Linked DNA regions of Danio rerio. The protein of the gene in region 2 binds, or shares a complex with, the protein of the main gene of each other region. Links are inferred from orthologs where the notes say so. Each region holds a gene or a part of one and is shown on either strand. Other genes may lie near its edges.

What was found.
Region 1: the proteins of uba3 (region 2) and si:ch1073-205c8.3 are in contact, whole or in part, in a crystal structure (PDB 2NVU), measured with the Homo sapiens proteins. The link is inferred for Danio rerio from reciprocal best matches to the Homo sapiens genes UBA3 and UBE2M. Residues at the interface, in NP_003959.3 of Homo sapiens: His53, Pro54, Asp55, Glu61, Ser62, Phe65, Cys70, Gln149, Asn152, Asp153, Thr154, Arg157, Gln158, Phe159, His160, Ile170, Arg173, Trp174, Ser181, Leu182, Leu183, Asn184, Pro192, Ile195, Val196, Pro197, Leu214, Met217, Arg254, Met255; in NP_003960.1 of Homo sapiens: Lys3, Leu4, Phe5, Ser6, Leu7, Lys8, Gln9, Gln10, Lys11, Lys12, Glu15, Lys21, Gly22, Ser23, Ser24, Lys25, Lys26, Ala27, Gln31, Leu32, Gln35, Lys36, Ile38, Asn39, Glu40, Phe51, Ser52, Asp53, Pro54, Asp55.
Region 3: the proteins of uba3 (region 2) and nae1 are in contact, whole or in part, in a crystal structure (PDB 3DBR), measured with the Homo sapiens proteins. The link is inferred for Danio rerio from reciprocal best matches to the Homo sapiens genes UBA3 and NAE1. Residues at the interface, in NP_003959.3 of Homo sapiens: Trp34, Glu35, Gly36, Arg37, Trp38, Asn39, His40, Lys43, Phe44, Glu46, Arg47, Ser48, Gly49, Pro50, Phe51, Thr52, Phe56, Glu83, Lys86, Asn87, Leu90, Ser91, Val106, Ser107, Leu109, Asn110, Arg111, Phe113, Leu114, Arg116; in NP_003896.1 of Homo sapiens: Glu10, Gln11, Lys12, Tyr13, Asp14, Arg15, Gln16, Leu17, Arg18, Leu19, Trp20, Asp22, Glu44, Lys47, Asn48, Leu51, Pro52, Gly67, Glu68, Ala70, Gly71, Asn72, Asn73, Phe74, Phe75, Gln77, Arg78, Ile81, Phe92, Glu95.
Region 4: the proteins of uba3 (region 2) and ube2f are in contact, whole or in part, in a crystal structure (PDB 3FN1), measured with the Homo sapiens proteins. The link is inferred for Danio rerio from reciprocal best matches to the Homo sapiens genes UBA3 and UBE2F. Residues at the interface, in NP_003959.3 of Homo sapiens: Ala401, Thr403, Thr405, Leu406, Glu407, Gly408, Asn410, Arg411, Thr412, Ser417, Val418, Thr419, Ser420, Ile421, Arg424, Thr425, Gln442, Glu443, Ala445, Ala447, Asp448, Val449, Thr451, Pro452, Gln453, Thr454, Leu456; in NP_001265234.1 of Homo sapiens: Thr27, Arg28, Arg29, Val30, Asp34, Lys35, Val38, Lys39, Val41, Ala42, Glu45, Val54, His55, Phe56, Pro57, Asp58, Pro59, Asn60, Leu62.

Annotation. Positions count from the first base shown.
Region 1 is NC_133194.1:51,591,183-51,598,782, reverse strand, and holds the start of si:ch1073-205c8.3 (NEDD8-conjugating enzyme Ubc12), read right to left. Parts: upstream 4,746-7,600; 5' UTR 4,648-4,745; coding exon 4,533-4,647; intron 2,863-4,532; coding exon 2,768-2,862; intron 2,663-2,767; coding exon 2,624-2,662; intron 2,439-2,623; coding exon 2,335-2,438; intron 1,515-2,334; coding exon 1,451-1,514; intron 578-1,450; coding exon 437-577; 3' UTR 1-436. Other genes in the region: zgc:158376 (F-box/LRR-repeat protein 19), read left to right, coding at 7,254-7,424.
Region 2 is NC_133186.1:19,922,058-19,928,921, forward strand, and holds part of uba3 (NEDD8-activating enzyme E1 catalytic subunit), read right to left. Parts: intron 6,219-6,864; coding exon 6,175-6,218; intron 6,008-6,174; coding exon 5,943-6,007; intron 5,813-5,942; coding exon 5,657-5,812; intron 5,581-5,656; coding exon 5,478-5,580; intron 5,389-5,477; coding exon 5,275-5,388; intron 1,882-5,274; coding exon 1,828-1,881; intron 1,726-1,827; coding exon 1,689-1,725; intron 1,613-1,688; coding exon 1,531-1,612; intron 1,446-1,530; coding exon 1,345-1,445; intron 1-1,344. UniProt on the Homo sapiens protein: Catalytic subunit of the dimeric UBA3-NAE1 E1 enzyme. E1 activates NEDD8 by first adenylating its C-terminal glycine residue with ATP, thereafter linking this residue to the side chain of the catalytic cysteine, yielding a NEDD8-UBA3 thioester and free AMP.
Region 3 is NC_133182.1:45,352,348-45,359,211, forward strand, and holds part of nae1 (NEDD8-activating enzyme E1 regulatory subunit), read right to left. Parts: intron 6,363-6,864; coding exon 6,287-6,362; intron 6,196-6,286; coding exon 6,156-6,195; intron 2,958-6,155; coding exon 2,871-2,957; intron 2,711-2,870; coding exon 2,618-2,710; intron 1,234-2,617; coding exon 1,119-1,233; intron 954-1,118; coding exon 904-953; intron 1-903. UniProt on the Homo sapiens protein: Regulatory subunit of the dimeric UBA3-NAE1 E1 enzyme. E1 activates NEDD8 by first adenylating its C-terminal glycine residue with ATP, thereafter linking this residue to the side chain of the catalytic cysteine, yielding a NEDD8-UBA3 thioester and free AMP.
Region 4 is NC_133176.1:8,053,432-8,060,964, reverse strand, and holds the start of ube2f (NEDD8-conjugating enzyme UBE2F), read right to left. Parts: upstream 4,502-7,533; 5' UTR 4,269-4,501; intron 2,607-4,268; 5' UTR 2,466-2,606; intron 2,316-2,465; 5' UTR 2,284-2,315; coding exon 2,166-2,283; intron 1-2,165. Other genes in the region: si:ch211-93g23.2 (uncharacterized protein), read right to left, coding at 4,751-4,847, 6,321-6,458. UniProt on the Homo sapiens protein: Accepts the ubiquitin-like protein NEDD8 from the UBA3-NAE1 E1 complex and catalyzes its covalent attachment to other proteins. Together with the E3 ubiquitin ligase RNF7/RBX2, specifically neddylates cullin-5 (CUL5).

The DNA.
Region 1 (7,600 bases), on a different chromosome or scaffold from region 2:
GCAGCGCTAAACACAACCGATACTGAGAGAATCTGGCAGACAGAGACATGAGGACGACTGAACACGGCTGATGTGTGCGGCGCGGGGCAGCGGCCGTCTCAAGCCCAAACCAATCAGTCCTCAAGCTGGGTGATGGAATAGAGAAGTGTGTGTGAGTGTGTGTGTGTGTGTGTGTGTGTGTGTGTGTGTGTCTGCCCCGCGCACGCTCATGTTGAGTGGAGGATGAGTTAGCATGTGAATCTCAGCAAAAAATAAACAGTGGGTACCAGCATAGTGGCGAAATACGACTGAATTCTCTGAGCAACAACCACTGACCAGCCTGTGAACGCTCGCCACCGTCCCGCACACCCGAGAGCGGTCAGTGTGTCGGTCAGTACATCTCAGCGCATGTAAACGATAAATGCATTCTCGGACGTGAGGGCCGGCGGGCGCGGGACTATTTCAGGCAGCGCTCGAAGTAGGTGGCGCCCACGTATCCGCCCCGCAGCGACCGCTGGACGTTCTGCTCGAAGAGTCGCCGGTTCGTCTGCAGAACCTCTGCTGCCTCTTTATTCAGCGGGTCTTCAGGATTGGGCTCCTGCGGGAACAGAAGCACACACACACACTTCACCAATACAGCTGGCACATCATAATACCGATCAATAACACACACACACACACACACACACACACACACACACACACACACACACACACACACACACACACTGCCCTTACACCCTATACAACAACAACTGCAAAATGTCTAAGAGGACAGGGCAGGGTTAAAGGAGAGCTGTTCCGCCCCTTTATATGAGCTGTAAACGCATGTCTGCTGTCTGTAGTGTGTGTGTGTGTGTGTGTGTGTGTGTGTTTGAGCTGAATATCCCACAGGTAATGTTCTCCAGTTCTCTGAAACTGACCCTTTCAGGCTTTGATCCTAATTTGGTGACTGTCGCTTTAAATGTAAATGATATTGTAATCTTTTCAGAAGAGGGCGGAGCTACAGATGTCAGCATAGTGACAGATGTAAAACAGCAGTGTGTGTGTGCTGCAGTGTGAGTGTGTGTTGATGCTTCTGTCAGTCTATGTGGCTCCTGTTTCTGTTCATCTAGAACTCCACATCTATAATCCTCTTAGTCTATGCTGACATCATCTTCAGCAGCTCAAACACTCTACTGGCTAATGGACAGACGGCTGCTTCTCACTCAGGGCTGCTGGATATGCTAACGAGATGGAGAGATGGGCACTAGTGGGCGGGGCTTTCCCCATCTGATGACGTGTACAAAGAGAGAATGTCAATCACAGTGTTTCTGCATCAAGTCTGATTATAATAAACACAGTTCACTCATGATGAGCATTAGAGGCTGCTGGAGATACACACACACACACACACAATAGATCCTCTTTAATTAAGCTAGGACTAGTGATAGTCATTATGAACTGAGCCAGAACACTGATCAACACTTACGAGGAACAGGTACTGTAGTCCGTATATGATGGAGTTAATGGTCAGCACCGGTTTCCAGTCTTCTCTGAAATACAGTAAAGTTGTGTGTGAACTGCAGAGTTACACCATCGCAACTCATTTACTAATAAAGCTCTTCAGCAGCAGTGTTGTGTCGTTCTGCTGCAGGGTACTCTCCTCACGCTGGACAGCTTCCTCCTGTGGTTTATATTAGACTAATCACTCACTGCTCTTCAGTGATTTACTGAAAAATCCAGAACACCGATTCAAATATCTGTCAAATAATCCAAATATCCTTTATATTACAGAAGAAGAGCGTGTGTTTACAGTGTGTACATGATGAAGCGGGCTGATCATTAATAAACCAAGTCATCAGGTGGGAGAACACCATCCAGTCCCTCATGCGGAGCAGCATTCAACACATTTCACAGTGTGATCTTTTACATCACTCGAGCTCTGCAGGGTCTGTTTAAGATAGTCTGAGTGTTTTATATGTTGTTACAGACACACAGAATCATCCTGCAACTGTTCTGCAGCATATGACGTGTCCCAAACACTGTTTTAACCGTCCATAATGGGCAAAAATGTTGATTTCACTCTCTGATAGTCAAAACATGTTCAAAATATTCCTATATTAAATATGCATTACAGACAGGCAGGAAACAGTGTTTATGTACATTCAGTCCACATATATGAACATCACTTTCCTCTAAAAGTACATCTTATCAGAAGATGATCCTCACGTTTTATTCTAATCAGCTTCCAATAAGCCCAAATAGCAAAGAGAAATGAGAGATGCATGTAGAAACAGCCTGAGCATTAAGAGATGAATGTGTTCAGCTGGAAGAAGATGGAGATGAGCAACAGTGTAAAGCTGCACACCATACCTCAGTATATTTAGACAGACGTTTCCCTCCAGGTCAATGTTGGGGTGATAAACCATCGTTTCACACTTGACTTTGGGGGGGTCGTGCGGATAACCCTGCCCTACCTAAAGGAGAAACACGTCAGAAAAACCTTCCCACAACGGCAGAGATCAGCGCACGGAAGTTTCACAACATCACTCACATACAGATCAGAACACTACAGAAACAAGCAGAACAGTGTGAGTGCAGCGGCGACAGCACACTGGAGAGAGCTGGACACGGACGCGCCGCTCGCCCCTCTGCTGCTCACCTTAAAACTGAAGACGAACTTCCCTCCTTTATAGAAACCCTGAGGAAAGAAGACGAGCAGCGGTCAGTACAGCGCTTCCCCAGATCAGCACACACACACACACACACACACACACACACACTCCTCAGCACACAGAACACACACCTCGTCTGGAGAGATGATGAGCTTAAAGTTCAGCAGGTCGTCCTGGTCTGGAAAGACGATCTCGCAGGTCTTCGGGAGGTTCAGCTCATTGATGTCTGACAAAGAGAAACAGCAGCATTAGCTTTTCTCTAACACACACACACACTTGTTTTTGTGAAAAGCGGGGACATTACATAGGTTTCCATTAATTTTATACTGTTCAAACCGTATACAGTATTGCCCTAACCCGAGCCATCACAGGAGCCGGTGTGCAGCTTTACTCTCTCCCTCACTCAGTGGGATTTAGAAGCTTTTGGAGAAATGAGGACGTCACCAATGTCCACAGATTTCACCTTTTTGTAATACCCGTGTTACACCTGTCATATACAGATTTGTGTCCTGATATGTCACAAAAACACACGTGCACACCTCTCTGCTCCACCACGGCTGCTTCATCTCCTGCTGTTCTTCATCAGTGTGGGCCAGTACAGTCATTATTGATGAGCAGAAGCACACAGAGGAGGTGCTGATCTCCACACTCCTCCATCAGCCGTCTGTGTTGATCAGGGCTTGTCATCATGTGTTTATGTGTTGTGGCCATGTCAGCCGCAGCGTAGATTAACAAGTCATACAACAACACATGAACTACAGCATCATACAGGCAGTGCCATCACCCAGAGCTCAGCGTCCCATGATCCTCGTCTGCGCAGGCTGATTCTGATTGGCTGTCGGTGGTTTGTACAGAAGCAGTGGGGCTGTTCCTCTGCATCTTCAGCTTCTGTTCACGCTCATCTAAATATTAAAGCCGCGTCATTGTTGTTACAGCGGTCGTGATTGGGTCTTAAAACAAGACTCAAAGTGTGTAAGAGTGTTAAAGGGTCCCGCAGGAGAGCTCTGCTCATGTACACACCGCTCACCTCTCAAAGCAGCACATCTGAACAACACTGCAAACTTTCAGGTCCAGAGTAGGAAAAACCAACACCGGAAGTCAAAGCCAGATTCCTCCAGCATTCTTCACACTATCTTCTTTTGTGTTTATTAGAAGTAACTCACAGGTGTGGAGCAAATAAAGCGTGAGTGATGGAGAACAGCCGAAAACACACTGTGCTTTATTAACTTAACTGAGGACACTTCCCTGGAACAGTTAAAACAGTGTGTGTGTGTGTGTGTGTGTGTGTGTGTGTGTGTGTGTGTGTGTGTGTGTGTGTGTGTGTGTGTGTGTGTTTAAAGCCGTTTCTCCTCATCAGTATCGGCTGTGTTTCCTCAGCCGAGTTGGTGTTTCTGCTGAATGGGGACCAGACTCTGCTCAGCTGTATGAACACACACACACACTCACTCCAGTTTGACTGTTACTGTGTGTGTGATATCGTGTGGATGGTTTGTGGAGCACAGCAGATCTTTGCTGAAGGTCTCCTCTGGTTATGAACAGCTCCAGCTCTCCTCCTCCTCCGGGTCTGTAGGCCTCAGTGTTTTGACTGAGACTTAAACTTTACCTCTCCGCGGGCAGAAACGCAGAGTTGTCCGCGCAGCTCGACGGTTGATCGGTGTTCTCCTCCTGCTCGGACTGTGAATGTCTAAACTGTCTGTTTTGTCTTGTTTTATGGGCCAGAATCTCCGAGGAGCGCCGGATGTTGTTAGCGCGCGGCTAATGCTAACGCTATCGCTGTTTCTCCTCAGCGACCCGGTCGGCGGCCCCGCGGCTGTGCGAGCTCCGGTACCGGCCCGGTGTGTTTGCGTGCGTGTATATGTGTGTGCGCGAGAGCAAGAGTGTGTGTGTGTCTCTCACCCTTCTGTATCCGCAGCTGGGCCGCGCTCGCCTTCTTCCCGCCGCCCCCCGCGCGCGGCCCGCCGGCTGACTCCTCGTCCTTCTTCTGCTGCTTCAGCGAGAAAAGCTTGATCATCTTCGGCCTCTGCAGAGCAAACAGCGCGGTGTGTTCGGGAGCTGCGCTCTGAGGGAGAGAGAGTGTGTGTGTGTGTGTGTGTGAGTGTGTTTCACAGCAGCTGTAGAGGGAGCCGGTGTGTGTGAGTCAGTCTCTCTCTCTCTCTCTCTCTCTCCCTGTGTGAGTGTGTGTGTTAGCCGCAAATGCTAGCTCTGTTCACACACTGTTCTTTCAGCTGATTTCAGAACACAATTAACTAGACAGAAACCGCAAACTTATACTTTAAAGTTAATAAATCTTCTTATTGTTGATAGTGTTGTTGTTGTCAAGATGAATGTTTTTTTAATAACAGCTATTATATAATTGTGTCAGTTTTATCATAAATCTGCGGTGATACTGAAAGCGGATGTTTTGGGTAGGGCACCGGCGGACCACATTTCCCATAGTGCCGTTCGGCGGTGACCAGAGGACTGGGAGGAGCTTTGCTATTTTTTTACTCTCCATATTTTTTATTTACCATATTTATTTATTTATTTGATTTCGGGGAGCAGAATCGCATGTGATGGCGTCAGCGTCCTGTCAGAGGTTGTGGCCCGTTTCCCGCGTCTGCTGCTGAATGAACGCGGATCCGCCATCAGACGCGCAGCAGCACAATAGCGGAGCGCGAACAAAAGACACGTTTATCCGCCGCTGCGCTCCCGAACACCGGCCTGCGGATCCACACGGCGGGGATTGAGCGGCTGGAGGGCTGAGGGACCGGGATCAGCCTCTCGGTGTCGGTAACGGCTCGGTGAGAGGGCTGAGCAGCAGAAACACGGAAGCTCATTGTGTTCCGCCGCAGAAACAGTCCGATGCTCGGCCAGAGAGTATGCGCCTCCACACGAGCAGGTGAGGGCACTAGATAGGCTGCTTCTCTAACGGCAGTCCTGTGTGCTGCTCAGCTAGTCATCTGTGTGTGTGTGTGTGTGTGTGTGTGTGTGTGTGTGTGTGTGTGTGTGTGTGTGTGTGAGGGAGAGAACTGCTCATTTAAACTAACCCACCCTGGGCCAAATTCTCTTCCCTCAGCTGCTGGTTAGGGTTAGTAGCGCTGCTGGATGGAGCTGCTAACCTGCTAACTAGCGTGTCTGTTTATTTGTGTGTGTGTGTGTGTGTTTCAGACCTGCGATCTGCTGCCGCTGGACTGTGTGAGGGTTGGTTAGCTGGTTAGCGCTTTCTCTCTCTCTCTCTCTCTCTCTCTCTCTCTCTCTCTCTCTCTCTCTCTCTCTCTCTCTCTCTCTGCTGTGTGTGTGTGTGTGTGTGTGTGTTCATCCACTGATGGTAAAGCTGTGCTTGTGATGAACGTGTGTTCTCTGCTCTGCTTCTGTCATTTAGGCCCTTATTTCACCTGTCTGTGTGTGTGTGTGTGACAGCGTAACCCACATACTGTATAAATGCCATGGTAACCACAGTGCCAGTAGTTACCTCAGTCATCCATCACTGTAGTCTTACATCCCCAGTACTGTGACATGAGGAAATCCTCCATGTAGTCAGGTTTGCTGTGGATTAAGGCCGGCACACTCAGAGCACTCGGGTGATGTTTGACAGAAAGTGTATCTGCTGTCGTTGGCAGTGAAAGCACATGCAGAAGTAAACGCTAACTCCTGTGTTTTCTCAAACCCTGATCATCTGTGACCCCGGCAGCGCTACAGGAGAGCTGCGGAGAAAATACTGTGGTTAAACTGGTGCTTGAGCTGGTGTTTCAATCCCCCATGCAGACTCTGTAGTGCACGGATGACTAGCAGTGGAGTGCACATCTGACCAGCTCAAAGAGTGGAGAGCCCAGTGTTTCTCATTCATTTACATCTAGCCTTCAGTCAGCTACACAACAACTGAACACAAAGTAAGCATCATCTAATGCATGTGCAGATATTAGGATCATGCCATGTGTCATCTCTCACACACACACCTGCAGATGCTGGAGTGCTCTGTAAAGAGTGTTTGCTGCAGAATGGTTGAGCAGTAGTTATGATTACACTCGTTCCACAGTTGCAGTGTCCTCATGATGTTTAACAGCAGCATTAAAGCATAACAATGCGGAGAGCCGTCACATGCGCTGTACTGCTATAGCGGAGCGGTAGTACAGTGAGTGCTGCGCAGCATCAGTCTGTGATTATCTGAGTCGTTTGCTTTGTTCTGGAATGAATCAGACAGATGAACAGATTCACTGACTCACTCAATGTCACCTTTCATTTCTAATGTAGAGACCCCATCTGTAATGAATAATAAGACGTGTTCATCACCCCTCAGCTGGAGGAATTAGTTGATTAAATGCAAGCGTTGGATATGGACTGGAGGAAAGTGTTTATAAAGATCAGCTTGGGTATTGTAACTCGCACGACATTAAAATAAATAACCCTAATATCTTTGCATAATATTTAAAGTAACGCTTGCCTTATGATAACTGGTCTCCACTGAACTCAGAAAAAGTCTGCCATACACACTGATCATATAGGCAGTAGTTTGGCAATATTGTGTGTGTGTGTGTGTGTGTGTGTGTGTTTTGAATGCAGAGCAGTGTACTGTGAGAGCGCAGATCTGATCGGTGTGTGTTATGTTATTGTGTGTGTGTTCAGTTGAATGCAGAGGGGATGTCTGGCAGTAAGGCGCTGGGCGGCGCGCGGCGGCGGCGGACTCGTTGCCGGCGCTGTCAGGCGTGTATGCGGACGGAGTGTGGCGAGTGCCATTTCTGCAAAGACATGAAGAAGTTTGGAGGCCCGGGACGCATGAAGCAGTCGTGTCTGCTACGGCAGTGCACTGCAGTGAGTGTTGAACATCTTGAACACCCCCTCCCCCCTGCCCCCCACTCACTCACACAAACACATAAACAAACACACACACACACACACACACACACACACACACACACAATACCAGCATCAGGTTTTTATTCTTCAGTGTTCTTCATCTGACAGCTGTAACTCTGATGCAGACCCGA
Region 2 (6,864 bases):
AGCGTTATTATAAACGAAAATATAAAAAAAAAAAAAAATTGTATGACTGACATTTACAATATTTTATTATTAATCTAAAAAACAAGGAGCATTACGTGCAAAGGGAATTAATACTGAGGCAGATTCCTGCTGTATACTGCACTTTGCTTAATAGAGGAGAAAGACATTAAGCTTTTATTTAGTTTTTGTTGTTGCTTCTTTATAGTGTACTAGTAATTTAATAGCAAGTGTATTTTATACTGCATTTCAGACTAAATCTATACAACGTTGAGTATAAAGTTTACACCTCCAATTTAAAATAAAAACATTAGGATAGAATTGGCAACATGGTGAAAATTCATTGACATGATTTTTACTTTCATTTTTCCCCCATATACAGTATAAATTAGCAAAATGCATTAAATATACAATAATTGTTGTTACAATAAAAAAAATGCTTTCTTAACAATTTATAGACATATAGTCAGCCATCAAGTGATAATGTCTGAAACTGCGTAATGTTATATTTGACATTAGATGGTTTACAAGATTTGAATAACAAATGACAAATCAACAGATTTTGGGAGAGCCTTCGACATCATTTTGCCAGAACTACATAATCGCCAGATGTTTTCACTGGGTCAAGGTACCATCTTGTGGATTGATTGACTAGAATGCAGGTTGGAATTGGGACAACTTAACTCACATTTACAGTTGCATTTCTGCATTTTGCAGACACTTGTTTCCGAAGAAGCTTTCAATTCATTTAAGGTAGTCCTTTTTATGCTTTCCCACAGCCTTGTTGTTGCTAGTGCCATGCTCGATTAATTGAGCTTCATATATGATAATATGGGGTGATCATACACACAAAACACACCAGCTATAATTTGTTATTATTTTAATTTACTTTATAAGCATAAAAAAATATGAAAAAAATTTGTCAAGAGTTTGAATGAGTAAGCAATAGTGTAATATCAATTATATTAATTTAATTAACAGAGAAAATATATTAATTACATAGTAATATTTTAATATAATTAATTATAACATGACATAATTATTTTTTTTAAATGTGATAGCTTATTTGTAGGTCTAAGACTTATACAATTACTATTTTTTAATTCAGATTTTCAGTGTATTTATCTGTTAATATATAATATATTAAAGTGGATTAATATTATATACTTTAGTTTATTAAAAATATGGTATAATATAGTATATTACAAATATTTTAAGTTCACAGTTTTACAGTATTACTATTTTATACGCTTTATGCATTGGTACACATATTGTAGGACAATGATAAAGAAATAAGAGATTTCAATGCAAATAACTGTAAAGCATTTAATTCAGTGAGTGTCTCACAGAGAGGCGTTCTCAGTCAGGTAGTCCAGAACCTCCTGTAGTTTAGCTGACGGTGTGAACTGCATGTCCTGTGGCACCTGACTGCACGCAGAACAGTTCTCCTTCAAATACAACATGGACAACATTTCAGCTGTATCCACATTCAAACATTTATAGCATTTAGCATATGCTGTTCAAGTTACTAACCTTTCTTTCTGCTTCAAAGGTGTATGTGTACAGCCCGTCGACATCATTAAACACCAGGTAGTTGTTCAAGGGAACATAAGCGCTGTTCGGGAACAGAATAAATATGTCAATAAATGCTGAATTCAAAGCTCTTTTTAAAGAACTATATTATAACTTACCTTGTGGCAATTTTGAAAACCTCTGTGGCGCAAGCAGCTGAAACATGCAGGAAAAAAAGCAAATAGTATTTACAGTTATCGCTCAACTTACTGAAAAAATGCACAATAAAACCAGAGATTATTTGTAATGTCAGAATACCAGCAATGACAGCATTTGTAGAAGCCACAGCAGGAATTATTCGCTTCACAACCCCTGAAAAACAGGATGTGATTTTACATCAACAAGTACAATTGTGTGAACTTGATTTAGACTTTTTGGAAAAAGACTGAACCTGAACATTATATTGCCAAACCAAATAGCATTTATTGTTTGATAAAGTGGACAGAATTGGAAAGACCTCATTTCTTATCAAAATTAACAGAAACACTTCTTGTCTAGCTTGTGATTATTGGTTGGGAGGTGTACTGTATAATATCTAGTAAAGTTCTTTGAGCATTAAAGGTTCAAGAAACCAGAGTACTTTTTTGAGATTTTAACAGATTTGTGTGTTGAGCATCAGTTAGGACAATGTTAGCACCTGTCAGCTTTAATTGTGGTAAAAACTGGACAATTTTGAGCTATTATCAGCTAATTTCATCTTCCGGGTTTAAAATTATTTTTGGGGCGGGATCAAATACAGGGCTGTCAGGGCCGATACAGCAAAGCTGTTTGTGTGCAGCAAGCATTTTTGTCGGGAGAGCAGTACGAGTATGGCGGAGAATGGCGAACATTGTCCTTTATCAGTGGAGTTCGTTCACATTTAGACACATCGCCATGCTGCTGTGTTCACCTAAATCCTTCAGATTACCAGCAGGGCTAATGGCTGAAATAGGCAGGGCAAGAGAGTCTGCATACAGACCCAGAGATTGAGGGAGAAGTCCTCATAGTGTTTAAATGAACACGATTATCTTCATAATGGTATAAATTGTGGTTATGTATATGAAATTACAAATGTAGCAGGGCATAAAATTACTGTTTATTTCTTTGCATTTTAACTTTGTAAACTATAAAATCATGCATCTTCTCACGGTTTGTGTCTCATTTTGTGAGCTAACTGACAACAGTTGTTCGCTCCCCTACTTTTACCCTGCTCTGCTAGCCACGCCCACTCCTACCTCTGATCGCGAAGCTCCACGCCCATTCTGTGGTAGACCTGACTTAACTGAAATAACACAAACTGAAAGACTGATCCTGGACTAATCATTTAAGAATCCATATTGAAATGAAATAACTAAAAAAAAGGGTCAGCCCCCAAGCCCCCAGCCTTGTCTCAAAGAGACAAGAAAGAAAAATTGATAAACAAAAAAAGGCAAATGTTATTCTCAGACATAAACAGTCTCAAAGAAATAATCAAAGCTGGTTCTGTGTTTTGATCATATTTTGCAAAAGCAAATTAAAATAAATTATTATTGAAGCTGTATTCAATATATGTCTTGTATTGTATGTCTAAATTTTGAGAATTATGCTGTATAGTTTATGTTGTAATAATTATTCTGTTTTTTCTCTCTCTCATTACTGTACTGTGAATAACTGCTGAGTTGACATTATTGTTTAGTTATTTTATTTTCTGTACTGTGTAGTAATATAATTGTGTCATGTGACATACTGAAAATTCAAATGAACTCTAGACCGACCTGAATATTGTCATCCTGATAAAGGCAAGTTTGCCGAAATGGGTAGGTGAACGAGTCATGTTGTTTTTTAAAAAATAATAATTTTGAGTGCCTTTGATATATTTTTTAATATCTTTATGAATCCCTTATCCAATAAACAGCAATATACTGATTACCACTGAAACACTTTTTGTTTGATCATGGATTCTACATTCAAAATACTTTGGAAATTAAGGCCCTGTTTATATGTTGTGTGACCAGTTATTTAACTTTTACATTTATAAATATGTTTTTATTGCACTTAAAGTGAATTATTTCAACAATTCATTCAATTCAATTCAAATGATTTTAATATCATTTTTTGAAAAAAATTCTCATTTTAAAAGAAAATGTCAGATGGCATCTGGGGGATTTTGCATCTGAACTCTTCAAATACAGTTTATTAAACATAATTTATTAGGCCATTTAGGCCTTAAATTAAGGGGTAGGGGTGTCCTAATTTTCTTTAGCTTGAAGGTGTAGGGCTAAGGGGTAGATAGCCCTTCGAATGGAGATTTTTCAGGACCACACTCGAAACCAAGGGGTAAGAAAATTTCCCAGAATACACCAGCCACAAGGGCAGGATAGCTAGACCCGGACGTAAGGAGATACGCAAATTATTATTATTTTTTCATTATTATGAATTTTTACAACAAACAAGCACATCTTTTAATATATTCATAACCGCGTTCATGTTTTACCGTCATGCTTTAAAAAAATACTAATATAAAACCAGCTAAATTTCACTATATATAATCCATAATCATACCTCCTGTATAGCAATCCCACAACATTCTGACACTCGATGATACACGAATACCATTTCAGAAGAGTCTATTGGTTGCGCATGAGCTTTTTACGGTGTCTGCTATAATGTTATTGTTTTTTGTGTGTTTATATTGACGAATATGGCCACAGTGTAAATGCGCAGTACAGTTACGATCTTATTGCCACATTAGATAGTTTTGATATTATAATATAAGCCTTCAGTGATCTCCTGAAGATAAATACCAAAAACTACAGCAACTGGAATAACTACAGCAGTCACGATCATCGATCTCATAAGAAGCAAGAGATATGATGACGTGTACAGGTGCTGTAGCGTTGTCCCAATTCTTAGGGCTAACTTTTCGCCTTCCCCTTCACACTCGGTTTTAAAGGCCAAGGGGAAGGGGTACAAAAATAGAACTGTGATAGGACCTAAATGTCCCTCGAAAACCCTGATAAATGAACTAAAGTGTCCTCCACCCACTAGTTATATTTTAACTTTATGTATAATGTCTATGTGAATTATAGTGGCCAATCACACAGAATGCATTTTTTGCGCTGAGGGTTGAATCTTTAGAATAGTTTATTAACGGTCATGAGCGTTTTGCACACTGCTAATGCGCCCTGTGCGCCTTGCATTTTTGCCGTTAGGTGCTGTGCACTTGCAGTTGAAAAAGTCAACTCCGAGGGAAAAAAAGTGTGCTACATCACTCGCGTCTTTTTCATTCTACAATTAAATAAAAGCAGAGGCAGGGTTTCTGTTGAGGTGACAGCAGTGTTTGTGTTGTCAAGATGACTACGGAAACTTTTGGAGAAAGAGGAAAGACTAGCTGTTGCTGTTTTGAGTTATCCGGAGCTGTATGACTTAACAAATATTATATATACAAATAAAATGTATTATTTAATATTAAAATGATACCAATATCACAGCAACACTCTCGCACAATACACAGCTGATTCAGTTGTTGCCTAGCAAAAAGCGCTTCTTTTTTCTCGTCAACAAAGAAGAAAATATGGTGCGCCTCGTGTTTTAGCACGGAAAAACATGTTCATTGTGATCAGCCCCTAAGACCTGTATCAAAATCGTTCATTATGAATATGTGCACAATTACAGCCCTAAAGTCAATAAAAGAGATGCTTTTAAAAATCCCTGATGAAGATCCATTGAACAGGGCATCTCACTCACCCTGGGTGAGTCTGTAAGTGACCCCAGTGATGTTGAACTCAGCCGCTCTCTCCAAAGATTTCTGATACACCCACTGGATGTGCTTTGGGTCATCTCCATCTAGAACCACACCATCTGAAGAACAAAAAAGCCATATCTGAAATACAGTAGATTACCTGCTAGCAATACAACCAAAAATTCCAATCAATCAGCTCATATTGTACCTCCAAAGGGCTTTTCTTTGGGCCACAGCAGCATGCGTACATATTCAACACAATGTTCGGGTAACCGTGGCATAGACGCTATAGTGCACATCGGGAAGTTGATCTGTGTAGGGCGCAGAAATGAGCATGACAAAAAAGCTTTGAAACTTCAACTTAACACAAAAAATCCCAAAATGCACCTGTGGGGGGTAGAGCTCCAGAGTGCAATCAATGCAGGCTGTCATTCCTGGAAGAATGACCCGGGCATTGCCCTTGAAGCCCTCTGTGCCACCATCTATTAGTGGAATAATAGAGCTGGGGTCCAGGACTCCATCTTCATAAATCAGCAGGGAGAGCTGACAAAGGTAAATGCATAGACTATATGTACTTCTCAATGAATAGAAACACTCTACTTAATTAATGAATGAATGGATTTTAGATCTAAACATATCTATTAATAGATTCTTGGATGTTTATGAGACATACAAGCATGCCGTTCATCCATCTTCTGGCGATAACAGAGTCCAGGCCACAGACGACTATGTGGAATTCTATGCAAAAACAGTTAAATTACAAAGATTTAAGAATATAATACTGCCTAAAAAGCATCATACTATTAATAACAATAACAGAACAATAGTATCATATATTTATGATTTTAGGACATTATTTCTGTACACAAAAATAATGAAAACAAAATGTGTAACAGTTAGATTACGCCTGTAAAATGTCTCATCCAAGTCCTGGATTTTCTTAAAATGTCTGCATTATGTATTAAGGGAAATGACAATATTTTGACAGTACAAATCTGTGTAAAACAGTATAAATACAACAGTATAAATCAGTATAAAAACTACAAGTTCAGAAGTTTGGGCTCAGTAAGATTTTTTAAATTTCACTTCTGTTGCATTTATTTGATGAACAATAGCGTAAATCAGTATTATTGCCAAGTATTATTCCAATTTATACTAAATATTTTAGAATTAAAAAAAAGCATACTTTCACACTATTGAAAAAGCAGATTAATTAGCATCATTACTACACGCTTCAGTTTTACATTTGTGTTACATCTTTTATATTGTATATATGCTGCTTGTTACTTAAGATGCTTGTTAATATCAGTTGAAAAGAGTGAATTATATTTTATTAGTGTTGATCAAACATTAACTAATTTAAAATAACGGTACTGTTTTGACATAATATTTGTGTGTATTGTAAATATTTATTTATTATGTATATGTAATACGCACATGCATGCATGCATGGATATATTTGATAAAATATTTATATTTAGATATAAATTTTATATGTTAACTACCGGTCAATATATATATATATATATATATATATATATATATATATATATATATATATATATATATATATATATATATATATATATATATAT
Region 3 (6,864 bases), on a different chromosome or scaffold from region 2:
CAGATGTGGAGCCATGTGACCCATCTCAGCTTAGGCTGATTTATACTTCTGCGTCGAACGTCTGGTCTGGTCTGGTGCAGCCTTCACACAGTCGCATAACTGCGCACCTCTCGAAAAAAAAAGGAACTACAGTATATGTCGCAAGTTTGCACTACAATGACGTTGATTGGAAGCTGCACCAGAGATGCCTTGAGATAGCATATTTTCCATTAAATTTAAATGATTACTTAAATTAAAATGTTTTTTTTTTTTTACAGAAGATTCAAGAAACGCACTGTTTAAAAATATTATTTACAGGATATACAAGGGTTATTTATTTAGAAGAGATGCTGCTTATTTTCTTGTTTTGAAAGCATTGAAACTAATTTTGTTTCCAAAAGTGCAAGTAATTTATGTTCACTTTTATATGAGAAAAAAGTTACTTTTGGCTTTAGGCAATGTGTGTTTTAATTTTGATTGTTTAACGTTGATGTTCAATAAATAATCATGGATAGTAGATAGTGTGTGTTTCCTTCAGTTATTTTAGAATCAAGTAATGCACCCTTCATTCAAAAATCTTTTACTTGTGATTTATTGTACAAACCCTGTCAGTGAACTATGACGGCAATAAATAAATAAATAAATAAAATAATCGTTTATTAATCATAATAAATGTTTAATTAATCAAGATTTTGATTTTAGGTCAAATCGCCCAGCCCAAGAAGGTACACTTACTTTTTTGTTATTGCTTTCCTTGGGAATCAAACCCACACCTTTGGCATTTGTTAGTGAAATGCTCTACTACTTGAGCTATAGGAATTATACAAGGAATTCCAGCAATAAATATTTGATTTCTCATCCTTATAATATAAATTATAGTATGGGATGTGAAAGTACAGTGAGTGAATAAGCATGAACACTGACCTCCCAGAAAAGCTGCGACTGTGTGTGGCTCAGCAGCTCCATATCGGCAGCTGGAAGACATGAAAATAACATTTACACTTGTTATTTGACTATAAACAGAAGGAGCAGCAGAATGAGGGCCTCTTTATCATCAGTATTACAAAACTAATTCCAGTGTAAATATTTGGCTAGTACAGATTTAGGCCAAACAGGCTTAACTGTCAGCTTAAACTTACAACTCATGGATGTAGTCATCTTTTACATTGACGTTAAGACTGTACTCCTGCAGGAGACTGTTTACACACAGCTTCAGCTTGTTAATGTCTTCCTCCACCTGATAATTGTAGACACCTGAGAAAAAAGAAAAAAAAAAACTTTATACTCTAATATCAGTGTGACAGTTCATAAACACACCACTGTATAAACGTTTTGTTCAAGGATAAGATATTAAGTCTGCCTGTCTCATGCTCAACAAAACTGCAACAGTACTTCAGTCAAGTGTCACATGTTCCTGCAGAAATCATTTGAATATACTTATTCTCAGGAAGAAACTGATACTCAGGAAACATTTCGTCATATTATCAATGTAGAAATAATGTGAATATATGTACAGTATAAGAGCTGTCAGAAGATAAGACTCTAAACACTGCATCAAAACGATAAACAGTTGCAGTATGTATTTGTTAGTGGTAAATTAATTGCATATTACAACTCAAATTAAGTAATTAACCTTAAAATGAAAATTTAAGTCATTGTTTGTTTACATTTACAAAAAGTAGCTTTAGAGATCTTCATTCATTTTCCTTCGACTTTATTTCAGAGGTCATCACAGTGGAATGAAGCGCAAACTATTTCGGAATATGTTTTATGCAGACCTTCCACAATATATTATGCCCTTCCAGTTCAACCCAGTACTAGAAAACACCTACACACTCTCTCATTCACACACACATACACTACGGACAATCTAGTTAATTTAATTCCCCTATAGCGCAGGTCTTTGGACTTTGCGGCGCACACGGAGGAAACCCACGCGAACACGGGGGGAACATGCAAACTTCACACAGAAATGCCAACTGACCCAGCCAGGACTTAAATCAGCGACCTTCTTGCTGTGAGGCTAACCACTGAGCAACCATGCTGCCACTAGAGAGCTTCATTTTGACTCAATTCATTAGTCAAACTTTGGGCTACAACAGCCATGTTTTATTTTCTTCAAAATAGGTATTTTGATATATTTACAGATCATTTATTGCAGCTGCTGTTATGGTCACACTTTACAATAAGATTGCATTAGTTAATGTATTTACTAATATGAACAAGCAATGAACATAGTGGAAATAAAGTTCTTCTGTAGTTTACGTAAACTATGATTAATAAATGCTGCACAAGTATTGTTCAATATTAGTTCATGTAAAAAATGCAGTAAGATTAGAAGCTTTATTGTAAAGTGTGACCAATGTTTTTTTTTTTATACATTCCATAAATATATAGATTTTTTTAATATTCTGCAAAAAATTTAAAAAATCAATAAAATCAATACAGGTTTGAAATGACACAAAAATTAATGAAATAATTTTCATTAATATTCAGGGGTGGTCAGTTAAATGTGCTTGTTTAAAAAAGAAAACACAGAAAAACAGTAATAGCTGTGAAAACACAATTACTTGAAACCCTTTAAGAGATCTGTAATGACCAATAAGTGTCTGTTCTGATTACTCTGATTACTTCTGACCTGGGTAGCGGGAGTGTTGCTGATAGAAGCGGTCGACTGAGCGGAGCATAAGGTACAGAACCATCTCACTGTCTGGACTGTCCATACAGGATGCTATGGAGACACAAACAACAGCTTTAACACCACCCAAGCATGGATGTACACAACAATGAACCATCAGATTCCCTGTTAGTAAATCCATCTAAACAGTCCTGAACAGTGAGCATAACATTTACACGCTGAGATAAACCACAAGGCCGTAAAGAACACGTACTGATTTCATCTTTATTAAAAGTGTCCACACTGTACTCGTCAGCCAGAGACCTGCAGCGCACCACTCGGAGGAAAGCCGCGTTCTTACCTGTGGGACAACAAAACACCACACAACACAGGTATTAAACAAAGAGGTTGGATGTGGAGAAAACTACCAATGCTCAAAAATGGGAAAAATAATTATTCTGTTCCTTTAACCATGAATTTCATAAATGCAGTAGGCAAATCTGGATATTAAAGAATTCAGATTCCATGACAGTGAACATGCACAATATTGTTATCGTTGGCATGTAAAAATATGGTAAATAATTATTTATTATTTCAAGTTTTTGAGTGCTTTTTAAGATTATTCAAATCGTATTTTCAGTGTTGTTCATAACAGAGCTAAATGCTTGGTGCCTTATGCCGAGTTCAGACTGCATGATTTTCAAACTAGTCGTGTCACAGATGTTTTCACACTGCATGACTATCTGGGCTGGCGTTTCGTCGCTGCTTTGTTTACACTGCAAGATGGTTCGGCGACATAAACATTCACATTGCATGACTTTACTATAGGGAGAATCGCCGACAACTTCGTCCAAACTACGTCTCACAGCCAAAAACAAGTAGTATATCTTTTGTTATTAACTACGTAATGAGAAAGAAGCCTTTAATGGGGTAGAACATGTACATGTTTGCTCACCTGGGTTTAAAGGGAATTAGCCATTTCTCCTCAACTTAAGTTGCTAATAAACTAATTTCTTTCTGTATGAAACGTCAAACAGACACGGTTGCTCCACTAGTTTTTCCTCCATTTCGTGGGTCCAAATAAACCGAAAAAGAGCGCTTTTAACTTCTCCCCCAGCCTCCCGCTGGCCAGCAGCAGGTACACACACACGCACACACAAGTGAAAGCTGCTCTCTCATTGGCTGTAGGCGATGGCTGATGTTATTTTCAGTCAAAACTCAATTCACACGGCATGATTTGAATCGCCGATAGCTCCAGATATTTAGCACGCCAAATATCTCACAGGCATCGGCGACTCATCGACGATTCTCTCAGATCGCGTCTTTGATCATTCATACTGTGTGATTGTCACTCACGTGCACGAGCAGCGATTTGCCTGTGATTTCAGGCATTTGTCGGCGATTTCTCAAAACCTGTCGGTGAGCCAAAATCGGGGCTAAAATCACGCAGTCTGAACTAGGCATTAATTAGTAAATTAGCTTCATTAATCTGTTCTATTACACGCTAAAATATTGATTGAAAATTTGATGACTATGTTTAGGGTTATTGTACTCTAATAGTAAACGCATCGACTTCTCGACTATGGAACTCGCTTCCCCTAGACCAAAGGAGCAGTGACAGTCTTAACACTTTTAAATCTCGTCTTAAGACCCATCTTTTTAAAGGGCCACGAAACCCCCCTGTTTCAGCAGGGTGGATTACGTGCACTGTAATCCTCACGCGAGTCCAGTTGCACTCTCATAGCGGGAAAATGAAAACAAAACCTTTGATGCAGCAAATTATAAAAGCAATACTGACAACCTGCGTCTCCAAACAATTCTTCCTCTTCCACTTGTTTTGGCAACACAATGTGGCATCTCTCTCTGCCGTCTGAACACTGTACAGGTAAAAACGGTCTTCGAAGCTATCATGCATAATAATGAAGTTGCACCGCATACACAATAGAGCACGCTGATTCGTTTAAACAAAATCTTTCTCATGAATGAATGCAGCACACTCAAAGACGTCACGATGCACTTACAGGTACAGACAGCCAGTCTACACGCTGGATTACACATAAGGATCTAATCGCTGTGACGCAGCTTAAAAAATTTGTTTTAAATCGGAAGAACGAATTTGCTCAAAAAAATGGAAAAACAACCAATTTTCACTTTTTCTGTAAAATATGTGTCCTAATAGTGTTTTTAGCAATGTGGGAAACATATGCGACTGTCAACAGCTCAAAAATGAGTTTTGATGTTTCGTGACCCTTAAAGCAGGCTTTCCTATGACTATCCTTTACCATGTTATTTTACACTTCGATGTGTTTATGCTTCAACTCCTTTCATGTATTTAAAATTTTGTCTGCCATTGTTTTATTTTTTATTAATTGTTTTATTAATTTGCTTTGGTGTGTCTGTTGATGCTTATTTTAAGGTGACCTTGGGGGTCAAGAAAGGTGCCATTTATAAATAAAATGAACTACTATTATTATTATTATTATTATTATTACAAGTCTCCAGTAGGTAACATTAGTTAATTTAACTAAACTCACTAAAACAAAAACTACAAAAGCTTTTATTAATCTTATGGCTGATGATATTTGAAAAATCATTGCAATATTTTGTTATTCTGTGATATATATTGCAATATGAATACAATTCCACCAGATGACTTAAATAATTCTGTTTGGAATGAATTGATCATTTTAGTTGATTAGTTGGGATAATCCCGTAAGTGCATCAGCATAAAACAATCTACAAGCCTAGATGAATACAATAAAGAAAAAGATATGAATTAAATAAACAATTATTTTTATTGTTATCTGGGGCGTCTCACAAGTATGCAGATAGAGTAATTGTCTAGTAAAATGTAAAATAATATTGTATAGTCTTTGTTGAATAAATAATTCAATAAAATGACTCGTAATTAAGATTAATAATGGTACAAATTACTTTGCCCGAATGCTTTAAAAAAACCTTACACAGTCACAGGCCTCAAAACACATTCAAATGCTGAATTATAATCCAGAGTCAACATTGCAGATCCTACGATGTGACAATTGTGAATGATCACGTTGCGATATCGATGCCGAAACAATATATTGTGCAGCCCTATTCTTAGGTAATGCTAATACCTTATTTAATTACTAATTATGTGTCTAAATCAGTCAAAATCTGATATGTTGTTTTAAATGGAATTTAGAACTAATACTTTTCATTTGTATTTTTAACTATTATTAGCATAGTAACTGTAATATATCTGTTTTTTCTCACTACTGATTTTAATCTATTATTTAACATTTACTAAAGATTCGTTTATTGTAAATTGTTACCTATTGTACTTTATAATGCTTTAGCAATTTAGTTTGTTTTAAACATCTGTTTACTTTGAAAATGTATATTTAATACATCAATAAACTATATATTTTTTTGTTATTATACCTGTTAAAGTAGCATTTTTTTTACTTAATGTTCATATCGTGATAATACCCTGTGTACGTGATAAAAATAAATCGCAACAAGAATTTGGTACCATCAAAGGCCAAGAACGCAAACAAGCACATCTGAATATACTCACAAAAGAGTTTGATTTCCTGTTCAGAGATGCTTTCTGGAGTCTTTGGATCAAGCAGAGAGTTCATATTATTAACGTTAATGTGCAAAAAAAGATCATAGCAAAACAGTATGCTTATTATGTATTGTAAATACCTTTCCAACTGATTGTAGAAGCATTTCAACATGTTTGGACACAACTGCAGCATCCCTCATGGCTTTGTCTCTGTACCTGAAAGTGAAAATGTCAAATAAATGCTAGTTTTTACCATCAACAGGCAGTCTGATTACATATTCAATACAGAAACCACCCCATCAGTACAGCTGTTGGTCATGATCAATAATTCTTAGTTAATGCTACTAATGTTATGCTCTGTGTCAAGGCTTCAGAGTGTGTTTTAAGTAATCCTGAAAGCTTTACTAAAAGCACGTATTGAAGCTTGTAATGTTTTGATGACGACCGAAATCTTGTTTTGCCTGACTGGTTTAGGAATCGGCTCTAATTTTGACGCAACCATAGAGTGCGACATCCTCCGCTGAGTTACTCAAGCAAGCTGACTGCCATCTGCCCATTGAAAATCAGCCACAATCCCGTTTTAGAATAATATTATTGCCCCCTCCCTGACACACTTTATTTAGATTGGCCCCATTCATTTTGAGCTAATAAATGTATGACAGTTATGTCATACAATAATCATTCAGCACCAAAAAAAATTTAAATTAAATAGATTAGT
Region 4 (7,533 bases), on a different chromosome or scaffold from region 2:
TTAAAAATTATTTTAACTGTCCTTCAGAGGTTACATTTTCAGCCGCCTTAGTATATATTGACAAATTAAATATGTTTTGTTTTCCACCAAAGGTGCTGAAATATGATTGGGTAAACTGGCAGTGGGTGGGTTATAAAGACCAAAACAAAGACAGACATTCCCACACAGAACACAATTTTTTAAAGGAAGATAACTGACTTAGTTATTCTATTGTTACTAGCGTTGTTTTTACAAATAAATAATTATGTTCACTTATGTTTCTTAAATATCTGCAACATATTATGTTTGTTCATGCCTTTGAAGAGTCAAACACCTACAAACAGGACCTTCAACAATAACTTAACAGCAATATACCAGTATTTTATTTCCTCAAATGCTGAAATGGCTGTTTATATACAATGTACGGTGTTTCCTTGACACATAAAGCACATGATTGGCATTCGGTTGCTTAGTGTCCTGTCATAACATTCTAACATGGTATCATTTCACACCGAATATGTCTGGCAAAGCATCTCATTCCTTAACCTGGAATTAAAGCAGTGTTTGAACAAACAATATTGCAGGTGGTTTGAATGGACAATAACATCAGGCACAGTCAGAAAAGCACTATTGTGGTGAGCAAAAAAAACAGTTTATCCTCCTCCTATATGAAAGACTACATATTTCATGTAATCAGTTTTCTTTTATTTTTGCTTTGTTAATGTTTTTCTCTGTAAAAAGAAGGGTTCGCACCCACCCCATGAACAGCAGATTCAGTGACTTTCAAGGTCTTTTTAAAGCACCATTAATTTTATATCAAGCACCTTTGTAAATCATATCCCAGCATATACAGCGTCATTAAAGTCCTCAACATTTAACAATTCACTTACACTTAATAGTTACGTTATACATGTCAGAGTAATTTAAAAAACGCTTGACCGTTTTAAAGTCATGCTCAAAGAACTTCAATAAAACGTGTTGAATTCAATACTGGTAATTAGGGTTGGGCGATGTCGACCAATTTGGAATCGTACAATGTCTAATGTAAAATATTGCGATGGACGATGGCATCGTCGTCATAGGCGGAGGTAAATTAATTATTCATGATTAATTAAATTATTCAAAACAAATTAATTATTTGTGGTCAACCGCTTCAACTACCTGACCCACATGGTATTTGTTTAACCCAAAAACAAATCATAAATAAATAAAGATAACTTAAACACAAATGATCACTTTTCCCCAGGACTCTGGCATGAGTGATCTGTCGTTATAATCACGTCGACAAACTTGGTCTGTAAAAAAGGTGCAAAACCAACAACAACCAACCAACAGTATCTGAGGTTTTCACTAAAATTACTAAGTTCAAGTGTGAAAGCGAAAGATTGAAGCAGTGTACTGACGGTGTGACACGTTAACTGATAGATTCAAAAGACAGAAGAGTCATTAAATAGAGACAAGATAGTAAGACCTGATCCAGCGGTAGGTACATCATTGATAAACTGTCCAACGTGCAGTGCTCTCTGGAGCTCAGATGAGTGCATGACAGTGTGTGTGGCTGTGTCTGTGTGTGGTCAGGTGATGTGAATTTTCAACGGACGGAGGGCAGTTTAGAAATGCTAGGTAAACAATCATTTTTGTTCTAAAATGCCATTTTAAAACTAAGACGTATGAGTGTTAACGGGGGCTGAGTGTGTATTTTTCTTGAGCAGGTTTGCAACGGGGAGTGGAGGATCGCGATGCCGCCTCAGCATCATGTTGTCTATCGGCCATCAGCAATGGACGAAGGCATCGTCTATCGGGCCAACCCTACTGGTAATATTCAAAGGCAGTTTCTGATATATCGATAAAATGTGCATTATTTGTCTGTGTTATTTTACAATATTTTTATTTAAGAATTTCTCAGTTTTTTTCTTTCTGTATTCAACAACTGGGTTGAAAAAAAACCATAAGCAAATTAATTTAAAATTTAATTCAAGCACTTAAACGGACCTATGTTTGTCTTTACTTACTTTCCAGGCCTTGAATCCATGTCTGAAATTCAAGTATTTTCCAGAAGTTTCATCAGATAACCTGTCCATCTTTACATGTTTTGACTGTGAAATCAGGGCAGACCTAAAAATGGTCAGAACCACTAGACGCAAACCAGTGTGTCATGATCCCAGCAGGCAGTGTTTTTTTCATACCTTTGATGAGCAGTCGATCTCTGATGGACACTCTATGAGCGGCATCGTTAGAGCCTGCAGGGGTCCGGCCGGCCCTTACGCCCTCCTCCCTCTTCAGCTTACTGGCTAACGTCAGCATCCCCGCAGACCAACATACACACCCTAACACACCTGTGAGGAACACAAATACACACAATGACCATCAGTGAACACCAAACACAAGTGAAAGTATTAAAAAACATATATATCCGCTTTATTATAATTATTATAACTTAAACTTTATCTTAGAAACATTTCTAACGTTCGTTAAGTTGAACTTACCCAACTAAAATGAAAACAGCACTCCTTTTCACATTTTTTCTCCTTTTTTTCAGTTATTCTTCTAAAAGGTAGTTAACTAATGTAGGTAACAGAAAAAGTTTACAGTAAGCAATACTTACTGTAAAATATTACCATAAAAACCTAAAAAATGAATAACAAGTAAATCTATATTAAAAGTGTCATAAAAACATTAAAAACATAGCAAAACTATAGTGATGCTAACTACAAACTACATAACTTTTATATTTTAATATTATAGAGCAGGGGTCACCAAACCTGTTCCTGGAGGGCCGGTGTCCTGTAGATCTTAGCTCCAACCCTAATCAAACACACCTGCACAAGCTAATCAAGGTCTTATTATCCATACTCAAAACATACAGGCATGTGTTTTGAAGCAAGTTGGAGCTAAACCCTGCATGGACACGGGCCCTCCAGGACCGAGATTGGTAACCCTATGATATAGAGTCTAGATACAAAAACAAGACTGGTAAACATTACACTGATTTTGCATTATTAGTTTAAACTTTGAAATATGAAATATTTATTGATGTTAATAATTTGTTGTGACAGCTATTGTTTAAGACAGTAACTAAGTTCTTTGCATTGAACATATTTTAGCTTTAGCATTCTTGTTATACGATTAAGCTCAAAAGACCTATGATGTTATTATACATGACAGACTGTCCTTTAATATCATTTGTAAACCATTATAACTTTGTTTGTAGAATAATAACACTACTACTGCTATATTTGAATAACAACAAATATGGGTGTTATAAACACATGTTTTAATAAAGTTGCTGTTGAAATCTGACTTATTAGCCCCCTTTGAATTTGTTTTTCATTTTTAAATATTTCCCAAATGATGTTTAACAGAGCAAGCAAATGTTCACAGTATGTCTGATGTTTTTTTTTCTTCTGGAGTAAGTCTTATTTGTAGTATTTCTGCTAGAATAAAAGCAGTTTTTAATATTTAAAAAATCAATTTAAGGTTAAACTTATTAGACCCTTAATACTAGTGTCTTGAAAATTCTCTAGTAAAATAGTATGTACTGTCATCATGGAAAATACAAAAGAAATAAGTTAAATAGAGATGAGTTGTTTCCTATTGTTTAGAAATGTGTTGAAAAAAAGTTTCTCTGTTCAACAGAAATTGGGGAAGAAAAGATACAGGGGGACTAATAATTCTTCAACTGTATGTTATTATACTGGAATAAATACAAAGGTACGAAATCTCTAATGCGAATTGTATTGGCATGTCATTGGCTTCACAGTAATACCATACCACTGTAACTTACTACAAATAAAGTATAAAGCTTCTTTCTAAACATGTACTGAAATAAAGCGATGGCTCATTTTAAATGCCTTGGAATACCACGGTAATACCATAGTAGATGAATAGAGCGTTCTGTCAGCACAGCTGTATAAATAAAAGTAGCATGTTATTACCATCTGTTACCCTCATTCTAATGCCATTACAAAACGTCCTTTAATGAAATATTAAAACTATAACACAACTTCTATGTTGTATGGTCTATAATAAGAACTCAATGTGCAGATAACTTAGCATGACTTAAATCCATTCAAACTTTCATATTCACCAGTTAGTGTCACCAGGCGTTATTTTGCTAACATGTTTACTAGCAGCTACAATCTAATCCTCATCGCTCAGGGCATAATTTATACCAGGATTCAGCTAAATATTTTCGTACACAATTAAATATATTGTCTAAAAGGTATTTACATTCATAACACAACTCTAAATATGTGAAATAACTCGGCTGCGATCGATAATGCACTTACCTGCCGCTGTCAGAGTGACTGAACTGCCCTGTTTACACCATAATCGGGACACCCGACGTGAATTTTGCACGTTTTCCCCCCAAAACAACTTCAAGATAAAATATGCTGAACGTCGATAAAAGAAACAAAATTGAGTGGAACGATGCGAGGATTAGTTCCGCCGAGTTTAATGATTTCCGCTGCCTGAGCGGTTTAGAAGCCGGAAGTTGTTCCGTTCATTTAATAAGAGTTCCGTATGGAATCAAACGCCAGAAATAAAATTCCGCCCTTATTTTGTACAAAGCCCAAATGAGATTTTGAGGCACTTAACTTTACAGCACTTTAGCTAATTCTTTTATGGAGTTCTTTGCAATATTAAACCCATGACACAGTAAATCCAAGCGTGGTGTTAAGTGAAGTGTTTATTGTTCAAACGCTTCAGAGCAGAGATACAAAACATGCTTTGATGCTGTTCGATGGAGCTGTTGGTTTGAAGGATCATGTCAGGATTTACGCGGTTTAGAGGCTAATATATAAAAATATTTTACTATCACTGTTAATTCTGTGTCAGTCGACGAGGCTCCCATTGCTTCCAACAACCTGAAAAAAAAAACTAATTTTAGAATCATATTAAATAATTATTTTTAAAAGGCAATTCATATATATATATACATACGGAATATATATATATATATATATATATATATATATATATATATATATATATATATATATATATATATATATATATATATATATATATATATATATATATATATACACACAAACACACAGTTGAAGTCAGAATTATTAAACCCCCAGAATTATTAAACCCCGTTTATTTTTCCCCAATTTCTGTTTAATGTTAACGGAGAGAAGATTTTTTTAAGCATTTCTAAACATAATAGTTTTAATAACTTGTCTCTAATAACTGATTTATTTTATCTTTGTCATGATGACAGTAAATAATATTTGACTAGATATTTTTCAAGACACTTCTATACAGATTAAAGTCACTTTTAAAGGCTTAACTAGGTTAATTAGGTTAACTAGGCAGGTTGTGTAATAAGGTAAGTTATTGTTTAATGATGGTTTGTTCTGTAGACTATCGGGAAAATATATAGCTTAAAAGGGCTAATAATTAAACTAAAAACTGCTTTTATTCTCGCTGAAATAAAACAAATAAGACTTTCTCCAGAAAAAAAATATATTATCAGACATACTGTGAAAAATTTCCCTGCTCTGTTAAACATCATTTGGGAAATATTTTAAAAAGAAAAGGGGTTTACTAATTCTCATTTCATATTTCGATAATCAATTTATTTGTTTAAATAAATGAAGTAAACCGTGCATCTGTGATCATCTGTTCCCTAAAGTACATATAATGCTGGGCAAAAATTAATCATTATTAATCTCATCCAAAATAAAAGTTTGTTTCGACATGACTTAAATGTGTGTTCTGTGTATTTTAATTGTGTCTATAAATACAGACATGCATGAATATATTTGACTAAATGTTTATTTATATTTAGATAAAATATGTGTGTATTATACAAATTGGCAGTGCAGTGGCGCAGTGGGTAGCGCTGTCATCTCACACCAAGAAGGTTGATGCTTCAATTCCTAGCTGGGTCAGTTGGCATTTTCTGTGTGGAGTTTGCATGTTCTCCCTGAGTTGGCGTTGGTTACCTCCGGGTGCTCTGGTTTCTACCAAAGACATGCGCTATAGGTGAATTGAATAAGCTAAATTGGCTGTGGTGTATGTGTGTGAATGAGTGTGTATGGATTTTTCCAAGTACTGGGTTGCAGCTGAAAGGGCATCCGAGTGTAAAACATATGTTGTTGTTGGCAGTTCATTCTGCTGTGGCGACCCCTGATGAATAAAGGGACTAAGCCGATTAGAAAATGAATGAATGAATGAATGATAACAAATTGTTTTGTATAGTTTTGTTTTTATGTTTGTGTAATACATTGTAAATATATATAATACACACACATATATTATGTCAAAACAAACTTTTATTTTGTATGTGATTAATCCTTGGCCAGCACTAGTTAAATATTTACTTTTACCTGTCAGTGATGGTCTTTGACAGTTTCTTGGCCTTAACAGGATCCTTTTCCAGGAAACCTTGATAAGTAGAGAAAGTTTCAACCAAGCCAATGAACTTTGACAATGGCATAATCCTCCTACTCTTCAGACATTCATGCCTGTGAAAAAAATACACAGGAACTCAACTGTGAATATAAGTGTTTATTTTACATCATGCATGAAATAAATTTTGCATAACTAAGTGTTTAGGCCCAATATTATTAATATTTACTTGTACTGTAGTTTTCCGCAATTGAAATGAATAATAATAAAGCTTTGCTACATTTGCATCAGATTTTTTCTCAGCACTCAAAGTTTAGTTTAATTAGTTTAATTAAACTAGTAAAAATAAGTAAAATAAGTTTAATTAAATTAGTAATATGGTTTTTGTGATGGCAAAATGTATTGTTTAACACAGAGGGCAAACTTAATGGAACAATAAAATTACTGTAAACTTTACATAATGTTACATGCTTTAATTAAATTAAATTTTTAAAAATCTATTTAAAATTAACTTACTTTATTGCCATAAATCAAAGTTAAAATTTTGAAAATAAAATTAAAAATATAAAATAATAAAAATAAAATTAAAAATATTAAATATAAAAAAAAAACGCACACTTACCACTCTTTATTCACATATAAAATTAGTAATATTGTTCTTGTGATTGCAAAGCTTAATGTTTAACACAGAGGGCATACTCAATGGAAGAATAAAATTACTGAAAAATTTACATAATGTTACATGCTTTACTTGCAGATTTGCAATTTAATTTAATTTAATATAATTTAAAAATAAACTTTAGATATTGCCATAAATCAAGGTTAAAATTTGGAAAATAAAATAAAATAATTTAATAAAAATAATAAAAAAATAATTAATTAAATAAATAAATAAATAATAAAAATAAAATCATAAAATAAAAATTAAAAAATAAATATAGGGTTACAAAAATTAAACACAAACTTACCACTCTTTATCCACAAATAAAATTAGTAATGTTGTTCTTGTGATGGCAAAGCTTAATGTTTAACACAGAGGGCATACTCAATGGAAGAATAAAATTACTGAAAACTTCACATAATGTCACATAATCACACAAATGCTTTACTTGGAGATTTGCAATTAAATTAAATTTAAAAATTTAATTTAAAATAAACTTAATATATTGCCATAAATCAAGGTTAAAATTT